2 linked regions of the Pelodiscus sinensis genome follow. The protein of the gene in region 1 purifies or fractionates together with the protein of each later gene. This does not show direct contact. Links are inferred from orthologs where the notes say so. Each region holds a gene or a part of one and is shown on either strand. Other genes may lie near its edges.

Region 1 (7,918 bases):
CAGTCTGTGGTCCAGATCAAAGTGTTAGGAGGGCCAGATGTGGCCCCTGGGCCACGTTTTGCCCAGCCCTGCTTTAGAGCCTGCTGATTAGGGTACCAGGTAAGAGACCAGGGTCTTGTTCCCTGCTCTATGACTAATTTATACACAGAGCAACAACTTCAATGGGAAAGATGGAGTGTATCTTACAGCAGACTGTCCTATAGGGTGATGGTTGGCGGAGACATTAGTTTAAATCTTTTCTCCCCATCAAGAAAAGTGGGGGAATTGTACTTAGCTCTCTCACAAAGGCTAAAAGTTTTAAGGTGGGCACCTCCTCTGACCAGGTTTTGAATGGGACCTTTTGGTACGTGGCCTCTGAGTATGCCTACCAGATCAGGCCCCACATGAGACAGATGGCTAAATGCCCCATCTCTGCAGGCTGTGAATCACTCTGGGGTTAGGCAGGAGGGAGGCAGTAGAGTGAAAGCTCAAAAGCACAAACTTGGGTGCAGCAAGAACTATTACCCTGAAAACATAGCTGTTGAGTGAGTTTAGACACTGCCAGGCTACAGTGGGAGTTTTGTGGATCACAGTGGAGCATAAAACTGGAAGCAAGGGTTCTGAACCTAGGCACCTGAGTACCTTTATTTATCCTGGTTTCATTGACTAATAATAGCACTCACAGATCCTTTCCTGAGGTAACATCTCATATCTTCTGCAGGTAAAGCTGTGGCAGGTATTACAGCCCCATGTAGCATCTTTGGGACCAGTGTATTAACTGTAAGAATGGTTTTTACACCACTGTGTTCTACTGCATGGGGGAAGGTTATCGCAGCTCCTCCAGGAAATAAAACTGGGGTGTGGGGAGTGGTGATTACCTGTGGGGATTGTAAACAACTCCAGAGGAGCTCCCTCTCTCCCACCAGGGTGTTTGCATTTGCTGGTTCCGGTTGGTTTTTCCAGAGACTCAGGCAGAGAAAAGGCTTTTGGTATAAAAGGGCTAAGTTTGAACTGGCTGAGGGTCTTCTTTCTGATCCAGCAAACAGGACCTACTGTTAAGGGCAGGAGCAGTTGTTATAGAATGGTTGGAAAGACTTTGGTCTATTAGGGGCCCATCAGACTGGAGAGTGACTCCTAGCATGTTTTGTGAGTATTTAAGTCTGTTTTATTTTTTGTAATGCTTTTACCTAGGGAATAAATGTGCTTATGTAGAAAAAGCTGAACGGTCACTTGTAACTTCTGGCAATGCACTGGCGATAGCCTGCAGAGAGAAAACAACACACAGGCACTGGCCATTAGACTGGCTTGCTGAAGATATCACAGCATGAGACAGGGGGCTGTGGAGCCTCTAAACCCCTGGTCAGAAAAGACTGACCCAAGGACTCTACCCAAAGACTAGTGATGGCTGGAGATTTGAGACCTGACAGGATACTCTTGCAGCGAGCCAGCAAGAGGCAAGACACATGTAGTTACCCCGGAACTGTGATGGAACATTCATCTCCTTCCCGTCACCCACTGAAATGATCTATACTGGAGACAGTCTTAAGAATTACATGGTGTGTGCATTTCAGGATTTTTATTGCTGCTGTCCTCCTGCCTTCAGCTGGAGAGAGTCCCTTTAATAAAAGGAACTCATTAGTAACCAATAATGTGTGCTGGCAACACGATCAGATTCCCAGACTTTGTGCAAAGTGTGGTTGCTTCCGAAGATAACTCAATAGTGTTCTTGAACCAGCTGCAGCTTTAACTGGATGGCCTGTACCCTACTGTCACTAATCCCATCTGCAGCATGTACAACTCAGTCATTTATTGTGCAGTTGTTAATTCTTAGTAAAAACAGGTCTAACTCTTGACTGTCTCTTTCACAGCTGTATAAAACCCAACCAGATTAGAATTTTCTATTCACTTACCCAGCTGGGAGCATTTTATACTCATTCAGTTCAGGTATAGATGGCTAGGCAAGTCAAAAGAGAATCGATGTGGGATTCTTTATATAAAAAAAAAAAAACAAAAAAAAACTAATGGGTATTAGAGATGTAAATGTGTAGTCTACTACACAATTAGCCAGTAAGCCTGGGCTTATTGGTTAATCTTAATGACTCATACACTCCCTTCCTCTTGCTGCCTCTGGATCAGAGGCAGCAAGGGGGCCGGGAGGCAGGAGCCACTGCACATGGGGAGCCGGCTTTTGAGCTGACTCCCCACAAGCACCTGATCTTGTGGAGCTGCCTGTCCCCTGCCTTCCCACACTACTGCCTCTGATAGAGAGGCAGCAGTGTGGAGGGTGAGGTGGGCAGGCAGGAGCCAGCACATGTGGGGAGCCAGCTTTCAAGCTGGGTCTCTGCACATGCCAGCTTCGTGAAGCCACTTGCCCGCCATGCTGCTGCCTCTATCAGAGGCAGCAACATGGGAGAGGGGGCAGGGGACGCTGCCATGGAGCAGCCTCTGTCTGTGGCGGGCCCAGGCTTACCACAGAGGCTGCTTCGTGGGATGCCGGTGCAGCTTCTATCCACAGGGAGCTCGCCCCCCCCCCCCAGAGAGAAGCTGCTGCCATCCTGCGCTGCTGCTTCTGTCTCAGAGGCAGCAGCGGGGGGTGGCAGGTGGGAGCTAATCTGTGTCTGGAGCTGGTTTTTTAAACCACTCATGGACTGGCTCCAGCCTGCCACCCCACGCTGCTGCCTCTGAGACAGAGACAGCAGTGTGGGATGGCAGGGGGCTCCCCAGGAGTGAGGTTGGGAGTGCTAAGTTTTGACAGTGTTACACGATTATTCAATTAATTGATATCCAACATCCCTAATGGGTATTTTAATAATAAACAAAGTACTACATTTCATTGACAGATGGCAAGCAGCTAGAGTGTAATGGCAAAATGTAAGTGGTGATACTGCGACTGCATACAACCTTCATAGATCCTCTTACATATGGAATACAAGGCAGGGTATCTTTCAGCGGGTGGAGATTATTGCCATGCAAAGGAGATTAGTGTTAAGCTGATAGTGCCACTGAAGAATCAATATAATGGAGAGATTCATGAAGTTGGGTTTATTCTGGGTAGAAAAGAGAAGACGTTGGGCTAACCTAATGGAAGGGTTTGCCATTAGGAAAGAAATGGATAGAGCAGAGAGGTCTCTGTTTGGAGAGGGTCAAATGCTGGAGATGTGGAAATGAGGAATCAGGTGTACAGAGGTTCCCTGGGAGTTGTTCAATTTAACTGATAATTGGCATAAGAAATCAGTTCCTGGGAAAGCTCTAAATTATTTGTTTCTAGGTAGTGGATAAGCAGTGTTCTTGGAAAAAGCAGGAAAGCTCAATCAACCTAAATTAAACCAGGACAGGAATATTTGGTTGGATGGCTTTCTCCAGTTCCAGACACCCACTCCCCCCAGTCAGTATTGTGGTGTCTGGCTTTTCACTAGACATGCTGCCAGCCAGAAGAGCAAGCCAAGATGGAACCTGGCAAAGTCATGGTTAGAAAGATTAGTAGCCTTTCCTGCAAAATGGCTTCTGTTTACTATGCAAGGATCTGAGAGGAGGAGGTACAGCTTCCAAACCTATGGCCCACTCATGTCTTCCAGTGAAACTCTACTAAACTCATTGTCTGTGTACTTTCCAGGGAAGGAGGGATCTGGCTTGTAGTCTGGACCATATTGTGCCTTTATTAATCCCTCGGAGGACATAAACTTTCCTGCCTCATCTTGTGCCTTGAAGAGTTCATATCACAATCAATAAAGGGCACTCCTGAAGGGCTCAAGTACCTGGGAGTTATTAATTTGCTGCCAAAGAAGACCATCTAGTACCTTGGGCAGAAGCTTAAGAATATTCTTCCATATTATAAAAACAGCATGAATAGCACAATCCTTAAACCCATTTCTGATAATCAGTGAAAGAATGATCTGGGTTCACAGAGCTCAGATCTTGAGCCATGGCAAATAGAGGAAATTCCCTGTTTGCCACTTGAAACTGCAGTGCAGGATCTAGCAATGCAACTCTGTCAAAGATGGTACAGCAGCGCTGTCCAACAGGGCACACCACCACTCTCTGCTCTAGCACGCAGGCTGAAGAATATTGGATCCCGACTCTGCTGAAACTGAAAGGGGCATTTAAGAAGGCAGAGTGTAACTGTCCACAGTGGAATCTGACCAGATGTGGGGACTGAATGTCCCTGCAAGAATAACGGAACTCTTAAGACCACAAGGTTAAGACTTTGGGTTCATGTCTCAGGCAGCTGAAAGCCAGCATGTCCAGCTGCCAAGCATCCCCTATTGTCATGCTGGGCGTGTGCTCAGGCAGCATTGACTCAGAGTGTGCCTCACTGACTGCACAGCTGCATGCCAAAAGTACCTAAGGCAGAGGCATGCCATTGGTAACCAGGTCAGATCAGTAGCTTATTTGACATTAGCTTAGTTCTCTTCTTTTCAGTGGGGCCAACAGACCAGGAGAGACAGAGTCTTTTGCTCTGCAAGCTGTTCACATGGGATGGTTTCAGGTAAATGTGTTGTGGCCTGTTTGAAATGGATCCCAGGCACCATCTCTCCAGCTGATTGTTACCTGACATGAATGTTGTGCCACTCAAGTCCCACGGCACCATCCAACACCCCTAAATGCAGAGCTAACCCCCCACTCGCTCTTCTCTGCCATCAACCCTTAGCCCTCAGGGCCCCTGAAACACCAGAACTAAAATAAAACCTCCTACCGCAGCCGCTGGCCAGAGGCACTTGGGGAGCAAGTTACAGAAACTGGAGATGGAGAAGCTGCGTTAGATCTCCCCCCTACACACGTTCCCGCCACAGATGCCACCGTGCCAATGCGCGGCTGGCCCGGGGCCTGGAGACGGACGGGCCCATCTGCGGCCGCTGTGGAAGAAAGGGCATTAGGACCCTGAGGATCTCGCTCCTTTTTTTTTCGCTCTGCAGGACTGAGCAGTGAGACCAGAGCTAAAACAAACAGCTGTGGCTGTAAGAGCCGGCCAGAGAGCGCGCGAGAGAGAATCCCATCACCGCTCCCCCAGCAGCCTCCCCCCACCTCCCTTGCACAGAGTCCTGCTGAGCCTTTGCTCCTCTGACCCCCTGGAAACCTCCTCTCCAGGCTCCCAGGCGCCACTGGGGCTTTCGGGATGAGGCGGATCAGGGCTAATGCCATTGCGATCCTGACGGTCGCCTGGATCCTGGGCACTTTCTATTACTTATGGCAGGACAACAAGCCTCATTCAGCAGCATCCAGCAGATCCCCCGGCAGCGGCAGGAGCGGGCAGAGATCAGCTGCGCGGCTGGAGAGCCGCAGGGAAGATGGGACCATCCCCCTCATTGTGAGTGAGACGCGCCGGGAGAGCGGCTTACATTTTAATTCGCCAGCCCCTGTCCTTGCAGAGAAATTGCGTGGCGTGGTGGTGCCGCTGCCGCTGCCGCGTGAGGTGTTGGCAGGAGCATTCATCCCGTTTGTCGGAGATCGGTGGGGTTGGTGAATGAATGGGGGGCGGTGGGTCCGTTAGAGGGAGGTGTGCCATTTGCATGGGTGTCTTTATGTTTGTTTTAGCCCTCAGGCGTGTCACCATGGCAGCGTTTCCAATTGGGGAGCACCATCCAAAGGCTTGGAGAAACAGACTCCTGCTGAACGTGAAGTGTTTGCAGTCCCGTCCACTGGATGGCCAGGGTCTGTTCCTCTTTGGATGGGAGCTGCATTTCCTTTCTGGATGGACGAAAGGGGTGGCTGAAACAGCCGGGAAGGCATGTTGGTTTGTCTCAGAGGGGTAGCCCCTGTAAAAACAACAAGGAGTCCAGTGGTACCTTAGAGACTAACAGATTTACTTGGGCATCGGCTTCTGTGGGTAAAGCCCACTTCATCAGATTGTCCATTGCATCTGACAAAGTGGGTTTTACTCACAAAAGCTTATGCCCAATTACATCTGTTGGTTTGTGTTCAAGCTGCATGTTTTAAGTAAGGCCAGAAGGGTCTGCATTTGCAGAAAACAGTTTCTTGGGTCCTGGGCTACATGATCGTGCTGGGGAAGGATTGTGGGAGTTGGGAGAATAATGTTGCAACACCCACACTGCCATGTGGCGGGTTTGGTGGTCTCAGCTGCATCATCCCTTAGTTGTTGTACATCCTAACAGAAGACCAGAGCGCAGGATGTGAGCTTGGAAGTTAAAACTGAATTAAGCCAGAGGAAGCTCTCTGCTGGTAGATTTCAGTTGATCTCAGAGGAAGACAGGAGGAGTAGGGAGCCTTTGTTTATCCCTGCTTGTATCCAGACTGGCTCCCTGCTTCCCACCTATTTGATTTCTGACTCTCATTTGAAAGGCACTGTGACAAAAAGACCTGCCCTCCACTTTTCCTGGGGATGTGCAGGGGTTTGGCAGTGGGGTCAAATAGAGTTTCTGCTCTCCCTGTATTAGGGGAGAGAACAACTATTCAGCTCTATCAATTGGAGAAGGTTTTTTCCTCTTTCAGGCTGCAAGGTAATAATAAAAAAGCCCACTATTTATTGTAAGAAATAATGCAAGTAACCAAATAAAAAACTCTTTGAGCCCATTCTCAGTGGTAACCTGGGCAAGACCACTTCAAAATTGGAAGATGCGTTATTGTTTGCATTTGTCTATGAATGATCTGATTACACAGACATTGGAAGGAACAGAAGCACCATGGTCTAATAGAGCAGGAATCTAGGCACCAGGATTCTTGGCTTTTCTTAATGGCTTGCTTTGTAACTTTGGACAATATCTCAGTTACTCCCATATGAGAAAAATCATATGTACTTAGCTGCCTCATGGAGGGGTTGTGTAGCTTCATGACTTCAGGTTTGCAGAGCCTCTTGAAATCCTCGGCAGGAAGATTCTGTAGAAGTGCCAAGTATTATTATATTACTAGTGTGTGTATGAGTTCATGCTGATAGACATACACAAATTGTGTGATGATAAGCTGTAGTAGTTTGAGTCATTATTGTTAAACTAAGGCATTATTAGTGGAGTACCATAGAATATTTTTGTCGTTAAAAATAGGAATGGATCAGTCTAACTGGGACTTCCATCCCAATCCCATTAATACAGAGGGGTAATACAGACTCTGCCTCCACTTTCCCCTCTGTAATTGAGATGATAGGATTTGCTGTTATACTGGTCTATCCCATATTCTTGTCTGCAATAGTGGCCAATAGGTAATGGGAGAGAGGAAGGTGAAACCCCCCTGTAATGCAACTGATTGGCAGTACAGTGCTGTACATGCAATACTCCTTCCTGAACCTGGCAACAATCCATTTCTACAAGGAAGCAGGAGAATGGAAGCAGTTGGATCTTCTAAGTGACCACATGTCTCAAATATTTACCAGTGTTGTTTGGGTCCTTAAGGAGAGGTCAGGGCTGGGAGCTGTGGGTTTGAGTGCAGGAGTTAGGGTTGGAGGTGAGGAGGGGCTCAAGGGCAGGGATTGGGATTGTGATTGTGTGTGTGTGTGTGTGTGTGTGTGTGTGTGTGAGGCTGAAGCCCCACCTAAGATTAGTATAAGGGCTCCTTGCTCTTCCCCTTCCAGAGCAAAGTGCACATCTCATCTGCCCCCTGTGTTCCCCAGCCAGTGTGAGGAATGCAACAAACTGCACTTTCTCCTCACTCCCTGACAAAGGGGAACAGCCACCAATGTCCTTGTAAGAATCTGGTGTGGAGGAGAGCGTTAGCCTCCCCACCCTCCCTATGGGGCTCCTGGAGGTTGGGAAGCTTAGGGCTATAGTAGTCCCGAGGGGGGGACAGTCGGATCCTTTCACCTGCCTGGTGATTCCGTCTCTTTTCTGTATGGTTTTATGAGAAGCAATCCCATTCCAGGCACATCCTGTTTTCCTGGAACAACCAACCCCTTACCTGCCTTTAAGTTATGATGAAAGGAAGCTGCATAATGAATTTGGTGGTCCTTGATTTTACCATTTAGGAGGACTTCTAGAACAAACAGACAGAAAAG
Region 2 (8,275 bases), on another chromosome or scaffold:
TTAACCTACCTGCTCGCGGACAAGCTGACCTGCGTACAAACCAAACCCCCGTCCCAAAACCAAACAAAAATGACCGATTAGCAGCTACATGGCTGATTCAAATGGTTTTTGGCTAGCAAGGGTGCACAGCGGCTAGCAGTGTTCGGGCGGAAACGGGGGGATGTCAAAGCTTTCTAAGCTCTTTTAGGACCTGTGAAGATGTAAGGCTGATGTCTAACCCAGCATCAGAGCAGATCCTATCAATCGGTGGGGATGCTAGTTCAGAGTACATGGGCTGTTCTGAATTTGCCCGCCCCTGCAGCCCGTTCTATACGCAAAGTCAAAATCCCGTGGGGACCATTAGAACAACGGGTGAATAAGTACTCAGGGTGTCCCCTGAGGGGACCGCTACAGGCGGAGGAATCAAGAGGGGGTCGTACAGTCCGATCCAGTTGCCTTGCTGATTTTGTGAGCAGTAAAACCGGTGGGAGAAATGCACAGGAGGGGGCGTCTGACAGCGAAGACGACTGGCTTCCAAAAAATAGAGACACCCAAAACTTAAAGGCCGCGTTGGCACATTTGGCCAGAATGTCTTTGCCAACTGGGGCTCCGCCTGTTGGCGAGCTGGTTTGACAGTAGCTCAGCTGGTCGTATTGTTCAGACTTTTCTGTGCTGGTTTTCTCCCTTGATGAAGTTACACTGGGGAACTGACATGCGGTGAAATCCTGGCCTCCCTGGGAAACAACAGAAAGTTGCCACTGATTCTGTTAGGGCCAATATTTCGCTCTGGCCGTTTGAACTCTTGGATGGTCTAGCTGGAAAGAACGAGCCATCCTGGAACACCATAGAGACTAACACAAAGTAGGTAGTATCACGAGCTTTTGTGGGCAAAACCCACTTCTTCAGAGGAGCTGGAAAGGGATAACACAAATGTATAGAATTTATAACACAAAGAAGGGGGAAATAGGTACCTGTCATTGTAGGACCGGGGCTAATGAGGCTAATTAAGTGGGCTGGAAGTGTCCCATACTTTGATTTGATGTGAAAATGAGGAGTGAAAGGCAGGGGAGACTGGCTTTATTATGCAACATCCAGTTAATATCTTTGTTCAAGCCCAGGGAAATAGTGTCAAATTTGCAGATGAATTCTGCTCTGTCTCTGTAACTGGGAGGTGAAATTCCTTTGGAGGAGCATGGCTACTTTTAAATCCATGACTGATTGACCAGGCAGGTTGACATGTTCCCCGTCAGGTTTGTGGGTGTTGCCATTCCTGATGTCCGATGTGTGTCCATTTATCCTTTGGCGCAGAGACTGTCCGGTTTGGCCAATAGTCATGGCAGAAAGGCCTTGTTGGCACTTGATGGCAAACATCACATTAGAGGAGGTGCAGATGTTGTGACTGATGTGGCATCTGGAAAGTTAAGGTGACCAGACAGTGAAAATTTGGGCTGTGGTGTGTGTGTGGGTGGAGGGGATAATAGGTGCCTATATGAGATAAAGCCCCAGATATCAGGACTGTCCTGATAAAATCAGGACATCTGCTCACTCTAGTTTTCTCATTGTGGGCTTCGCTTTTCTTTGTACTACTCTAGCGCCGGCCAAGGCCAAAGCACAACAAGCTTTCAGGGGAAGTTGCCAGCTGGAAACAGAAGTGTTTTCCTTTTATCAACATCATGAATGCTCTGGATTCTCCTCTTGTTTTCTCATCAGGGGCCCCGAGTTGCTGTTTTCCTTTGGTGTCATTGAGACTGGGGCCCATTGTGTGTTGCAGGCTCCCTATTAATTAACAAAAGCGGCGAGGAGTTCTGTGGCACCTTAGGGTGTGTCTAGACTACAGGGTTTTGTCGACAAAAGTGGACTTTTGTCGGCAAAACTATACCTGTGTCCACACTGCCTTTGAGTTATGTCGACATAACGTCGACAAAACTCAGCAGTTTTGTCGACGTATGTAAACCTCATTCTACGAGGAATAACGCCTTTTGTTGACAGAGTTCTGTCGATAGAAGGCATTATTGCATCTACACTGTCCTTTGCGTCCACACTGTTATGTCGACAAAGCAGCTTGCTTTGTCGACAGAACTGGCTGCAGTCTAGATGCTTTTTGTTGACAGAAGCTTTGTTGACTGTATCTGTTGACAAAACTTCTGTCGACAAAACCCTGTAGTCTAGACATACCCATAGAGACTAACTGAAGTGTAGGAGCATAAGCTTTCTTGGGCAAAGACCCACTTCGTCAGATGCATCTTATGCTCCTACACTTCAGTTAGTCTCTAAGGTGCCACAGGACTCCTCGCCGCTTTTGCAGATTCAGACTAACACGGCCACCCCTCTGATCCTTAATTAACAGAGTATCGCTTGGCATTAGCCAGCACATTTCTTGAGCGTTTAGCCGCTTGGCTCCCCATGGGGGTAACGGTTTGCATTTCGGACAAACATTACCAATGCTGGGAAGGAGAGTTGATGCTACTCTCACGATGCATGGCATTATGGCGTAGGTTTCAAAAACCAAAGCGACAGTGACACCAGTGTGGCAAAGCTGGGGAAATCTCACATGCTTTGCAGGAAACTGGAGCAGACTCTGGATTCAGACCTGTGTTGTGTCAACAACACAAAGCGGAGGAGGGTTCTCTCCCTTTGGGACAAGATACCGCTGGTGTTTGGGAAAAGATACTTTTCTCTTCTGCGACAGCTGTCTCCGGAGGAGCGTAACACGTCGTGCAAGAACTAACAAAGCCTTAGGCCTGCTCCTCCCAAGAAGCAGATCGGGATTATTGTGTCTGGCGGATGGGGAGACAGACCTAGAGGGCGGAGTCGGGGTAATAGCCCAAGAACTCGCACCAATGCTTGGCCATGACTGGCCGTTGCTGGAGATGGGACACCAGACAGGACAGATGGGGGCTCCGAGCTGGTACAAAACTCCTCTGTCTCTGATGCCTGGCTGATGTGTCGTGCTCACATGCCTAGGGTCACAGTGTCTGCACACTGCGTCCCCCAAGGGGGTGGGAGGAGGATATGTGTCAACATCGCAGTTACAACCGGGGGGTGATCTCAGACCTCACCCATCCCATGGTCCTAGGTCTAGGGCAAAGGCACCAGACCCATCGTCCAAGGCAGCATGGCCTAATAGCTAGAGTCAACGAACAGCTCTTCACTACAGGGCAGTGTAGCCTAATAGCCAGTACCAAAAGGGCCACCAACAGGGAAGGTCTAGTGGCCCATTATAGAAGGGCTTGGGCCCACCTGACTCCACTACTCCCTGGCAGTGGCTGATCAGTCCACCACTGGCTCAGCGGGGAATCTCACCGAAACAGCAGGTGGGAGATACCATTTGCGGCCCCTCCCTGGATCATTTCTTATGGTACTCTGTGGCGTGGCTGCCCACGAAGCTTCGGGATCTTCAGGTTCCTCAACATCAGTCACTCCTTGGTGCTCCATCAGCTGTGGCGGCTTATTTCGGTCCTCGGGGCTCCTACCTCCTCCCACAAGCTCTGTGGCTTATTCTCAGCTGAAGCTCCCGCCTCAAGTCCTTCCTCTCCAGCATCCACTCCAGACGGAGCTGAGTTGCTTCCTTTTATATTGGCCCAGCACTTCGAGCATGCCCAGTACGGCTGGGGAGGGGGCGGGACTTCCTCTGTACCCTCCCCCCCCCGGCCTAGTGTGGGGTGTGCACACCGGACCCAACCCGTTTGGTGTCAGGGAGGAATTTTCCGCACGTCAGATTGGCTGTGACATTGGGATTTTTCCCGCAGCGCGGGGTGTAGTCAGGAGTGGTCCGAGGCAGGCTGCGGCAGCTGGCGCCCCAGGCGGAACGCACAATTAGCGCCCCCGCCTGCACAGCTGTCAATGGAGTGATGTCATCATCGGGCGCCCCGGGTGCCCCGTGATGTCATCATTGGGTGCCGTTGAAGGCGACGGCCGAGTCGGCCTATAGTCACAGGCTGCCCCTGGGTGTAGTTCACCAGCTGGGAGCATGTCTCACCTAATCAGCTCCCTGGCATTGCAGGGGCCCTGGGCGTTTGGGGGCAGGCTGGTCTCTTCTGCTTTCAGCCTACGGCAGGCAGCCGAGCCTCCAGAGGGATGGAAAGCTTTAGTCTCAGCTAGTGGTGGCCAACCTTTTTAAGCACAAGGTCATAAAAACATCAGAACGGCCAGACTGGGTCAGACCCAAGGTCCATCCACCCCAGTACCCACAGTGTCCAATGCCAGGTGCCCCAGAGAGAGGGAACAGAACAGGGAATGATCAAGCCATCTCTCTCCTGCCATCCATCTCCACCCTCTGACAAACAGAGGCTAGGGACACCAGTCCTTACCCATCCTGCCTAATAGCCATTAATGGCCTTAACCTCCATGAATTTACCTAGTTCTCTTTTAAACCCTGTTATAGTCCTTCACAACCTCCTCAGGCAAGGAGTTCCACAGGTTGACTGCGCTGTGAGAAGAACTTCCTTTTATTCATTTTAAACCTGCTGCCCATTACTTTCATTTGGTCCCTTTTTGAATGTAAGCGCAACCCAGGATCTAGCTCAGACCCAAACGCCCTGGGCTCGCCTCCTTCCCCGACCCTTTTACCAAGGCCCTGCCCCTGTCCAAACCCACCTCCGCACTGTGGCAGGTAGGGACACTGACTGGAGAGGGAGGGTTTCTGGAAGAGCGGAGCAGTGAAACTAGCAAATGGAATGTGCTCCCCTGGAGCAGAGCTTACCGGCGCGCTGGCCTGTTGCTGGGTATGGAAATCCCTATGCAGGCAGGGTGCGTCTCAGCCAGGCCTGCTGCTCCCCTTCTGCTGTGACTGGCCGGTCGGGTGGTCCCTTCCGTGGCTCTCGCTGCTCTTGCCCTTGTTAATTATTGACAGCAGAAATGCTGGGTCATCGCTCTGAGATTCTTGTTTATGCAGGAGGGATTGATCCACAGAGATTCCAAGTTTCCCCTTTTCCCTCCCACACCGGGTCCCAGGCCTGGCCTGGCCGGGCAGGACGGAGCCTGCCCGTCAGAACGAGGGCGAAGAGGGACAAGGGGTACAAGCCACGTCACCAGGCTGGATTGCCTCCCTCATGGCAGGAAGAAGCTTTATCCCCAGCCAGTCTCATCCCTGCAGCCTCAACATGGAGAGTGAGCCAGGAGCCAAGGGGCCGAGCCTTTCGGGCTCTCAAGGGCTTGTCTCAGAGGGAGGTAAGACACATCTGGCTTCCCATGTAAACCTGAGCAAAACACTTCCATGTTAATGACGCGATTCTGGTTTACACCAGCAGAGAATCTGGCTCTTAGTTGCCCCGTGCCTCAGTTTCCCCATAAAACAGCATCTTTCACAATGGCCCTGGATCTTGGCTGGGGCCTCTAAAGTGCTATTGTACTGCGCACAATAATCCTCCCAGCAGGAGAAGGTAATTCTAGCAATGACTCGCGAACAGCAGCGTACCGGGTGAGCAGGGCTCTGCCCTGGAGCTAAACTCGTACACGTCTCTAATGCAGGTGTGTGTACGCGGCTTTAACCTTTCCCCCTCTTGCCTTCACACGTGTTGGCAGCTGCCTAGTGGCCCTGAGAGGTGCGCCTGTTTACCTGCGTCAGAGTGTGTCTAGGCCACATTCCTCTTTCGAAAAAGGAATGCAAATGAGGGAAATCGAAAATGCAAATGAAGCGCTGATTTACAAATCTCGCGCTTCATTTGAATAATCTCGTCTGATCGCTTTTTCGGAAGAGATTTAAAAAAAAACAATTTAGACATGGTTCTTTCAAAAACTACCACTTTTTCAAAAGAACTCTGTAAACCTCATTTTTTCAGGAATAAGGATTCTTTTGAAAGAGGTTTGTTTTTTTAAAGAATCCCGTCTAAACTAGTTTTTTTTTTTGGGAAAAAAATCTCTTCTGAAAAAGCGATTGGACGAGATTATGCAAATGAAGCACGAGATTTGTAAATCAGCGCTTCATTTGCATTTTCGATTTCCTTCATTTGCATTCCTCTTTTGAAAGAGGAATGTAGTCTACATGCACCCTAAGAGATTTGTACCAATTTAACTAAACCGTTTCGCCAAAGCCCTGTCGCTTTCTAGCACAGCCAAGCCCAAGCCAGGGGCTGATGCCGTAACGGGGAGTAATGAAGCAGGGACTGAGGTTCTATAGACACTGAGTTCCTCACATCATCAAGGGCTCATCCACCTGCACGTCCACTAATGTGATATGTGCCAGCAATGCCTCTCTGCCATGTCTGTTGGCCAGACTGGACAGCCTCTGCCGAAAAATGATAACACCCTGAAACCTATAGGGGGACATTCAGTAGTGGATATGAAGATAGCCATCCTTCTACAAAAGAATTTCAGAAACTGCTTACAAAGGGAGACGGCTGACCTAGAATTCCTTTGCAAATTCAAGACTATCAAGTTAGGATTGAATAGGGATCTTAACTGCTTAACGCAGTACAAAGGCAATTTCCCCCTCTTTTGATATCCACGTTTCCACATCAGTGCTGTGAGTGAGCCACTTCCACCCTGCCTTGATTAGCCTCATTTATACAAGCACCCCCTTTCTTTTCTTGTCTGTATCTATCCCCCTGCCTCTGTAAACTCCACTTCAGTTCATCTGAGGAAGTGGGTTTTATCCGTGAAAGCTGATGCTCTAATAAATCTGCTAAGGTGCCAAAGGACTCCTCGTTGTTTTTGCAGCTTTCTCCATGTTCTCCCAGTAGAAGAGTTTTATGGGGAATGTGGGGGCCCCTCCCCAGCATCCTCTCTTGCCCAACTGGCACACTCAGCTGGCCCTGCCATGCCAGCCGCATGCTAGTGCAGATAAAGCTACTGCTGGTAATGATGACTGTATCATTTCATCTCTCACGAATGCCTAGTCGTGTGCTGCCCTCTCTGTCTCCTGTAACCGGATTGCTGTCTGCACGTCCTCCTCCTCTCCGTCTATAGCTCAGACGCAGCTCTGCTTTGCCTTCCGCTGCACTCGAGAGCTCCCTTTAGCAGCATACCCCGGCTTCGGTTCAATTTGCAACATAATTGTGTTGGCCACGTGGTTCCAGCTAGTCAATTATGCCACTGATTGGGACAGGAACAACTTTGCATTTGCTTCTCTGCCTGATAGACAGGCCTGGTTCGCGAGCGTCGCACCCCGCACACAGCAGAATTAATGTGTTATTGAGCCTGTAACATACAAACCGTGGGATCACTTACGTTAGTTCTCCGAAAATAGCTTTTCTTAGGGCCAGGTTCTGATCGCAGGGACTCAGGCATCTGTCTGGAGCAGCTCCCTTGATCCATGGCTGTAGGGTTACTCTGGATTTACACCAGTGCACATGAGCTGGGAATCGAATCGGCCCCTTTGTTTGGACATAAAGTCCAAGGTGGAGAAAAATGGCATGGAAAAGCTAAACACCCAGCCTGAAATGTAATAAAGCACCTCTTGGCCTGAGGCTATTTTCCATGCCAGGAGAAAGGCAGAGTTATGTTAATTTTAATCAGAGCTATTGTTAAAGGCGCCGTGCAGGTCCCCAGCTTGGCTACTGGAAAGGTGAGCTGCAATTTTAATCCTCTCCTTATAGTTAGGGAAAAGGTTTTGTGGTTTCTTTGTGTGACATGCCAGTTAGAGCTAGACACAACACAGAGATAGGGGTTCAAGCCCTTTCCCACCCATCTCTCTGCTGAGTCCTCTCATTCCTGCCTCTCCCCAGCACACCCTCCCATTCCGGTCTTGGACTCTACATCCAGGGCTCCTCAGTCCAACCCCCAGTCTCCCTTACAGTACGGTCTGGCAGTGGCCTCTGTAAACTGTGTGCTCGTGCGCTTGTCCCTTACTAATCTGCTAGAGTTCTTTGTGGGGGTCAACAAACATGTGGACAAGGGGGATATAGTGCACTTAGATTTCCAGAAAGCCTTTGACAAGGTCCCTCACCAAAGGCTCTTAAGTAAAGTAAGTTGTCATGGGATAAGAGGGAAGGTCTTCTCATGGATTGATAACTCATTAAAAGACAGGAGACAAAGGGTAGGAATAAATGGTCAGTTTTCAGAGTGGAGAGAGGTAACTAGTGGGGTCCCCCAAAGTCTGTCCTATTTAGTCCTATTCAACTTATTTATAAATGATCTAGAGAAAGGGGCAAACAGGGAGGTGGCAAAATTTGCAGATGACACCAAACTGCTCAAGATAGTTAAGACCATAGCAGACTGGGAAGAGCTTCAAAAAGCTCTCACCAGACTAAGGGTATGTCTACACTACCCTCCTAATTTGAACTAGGAGGGTAATGTAGGCATACCGCACTTGCAAATGAAGCCCGGGATTTGAATTTCCCGGGCTTCATTTGCATAA

The links. The genes of interacting proteins can lie anywhere in the genome.
Region 2: the proteins of GALNT16 (region 1) and SLC39A11 purify together in Homo sapiens (co-immunoprecipitation; 3 studies listed by BioGRID and IntAct, counting the BioPlex papers as one, with this or other methods). This does not show direct contact. The link is inferred for Pelodiscus sinensis from reciprocal best matches to the Homo sapiens genes GALNT16 and SLC39A11.

What each region holds. Positions count from the first base shown.
Region 1 is NC_134714.1:71,017,323-71,025,240, reverse strand, and holds the start of GALNT16 (polypeptide N-acetylgalactosaminyltransferase 16), read left to right. Parts: upstream 1-4,705; 5' UTR 4,706-5,092; coding exon 5,093-5,284; intron 5,285-7,918. UniProt on the Homo sapiens protein: Catalyzes the initial reaction in O-linked oligosaccharide biosynthesis, the transfer of an N-acetyl-D-galactosamine residue to a serine or threonine residue on the protein receptor.
Region 2 is NC_134730.1:26,553,936-26,562,210, reverse strand, and holds the start of SLC39A11 (zinc transporter ZIP11), read left to right. Parts: upstream 1-4,959; 5' UTR 4,960-5,148; intron 5,149-7,146; exon of another isoform or gene 7,147-7,273; intron 7,274-8,275. UniProt on the Homo sapiens protein: Zinc importer that regulates cytosolic zinc concentrations either via zinc influx from the extracellular compartment or efflux from intracellular organelles such as Golgi apparatus. May transport copper ions as well.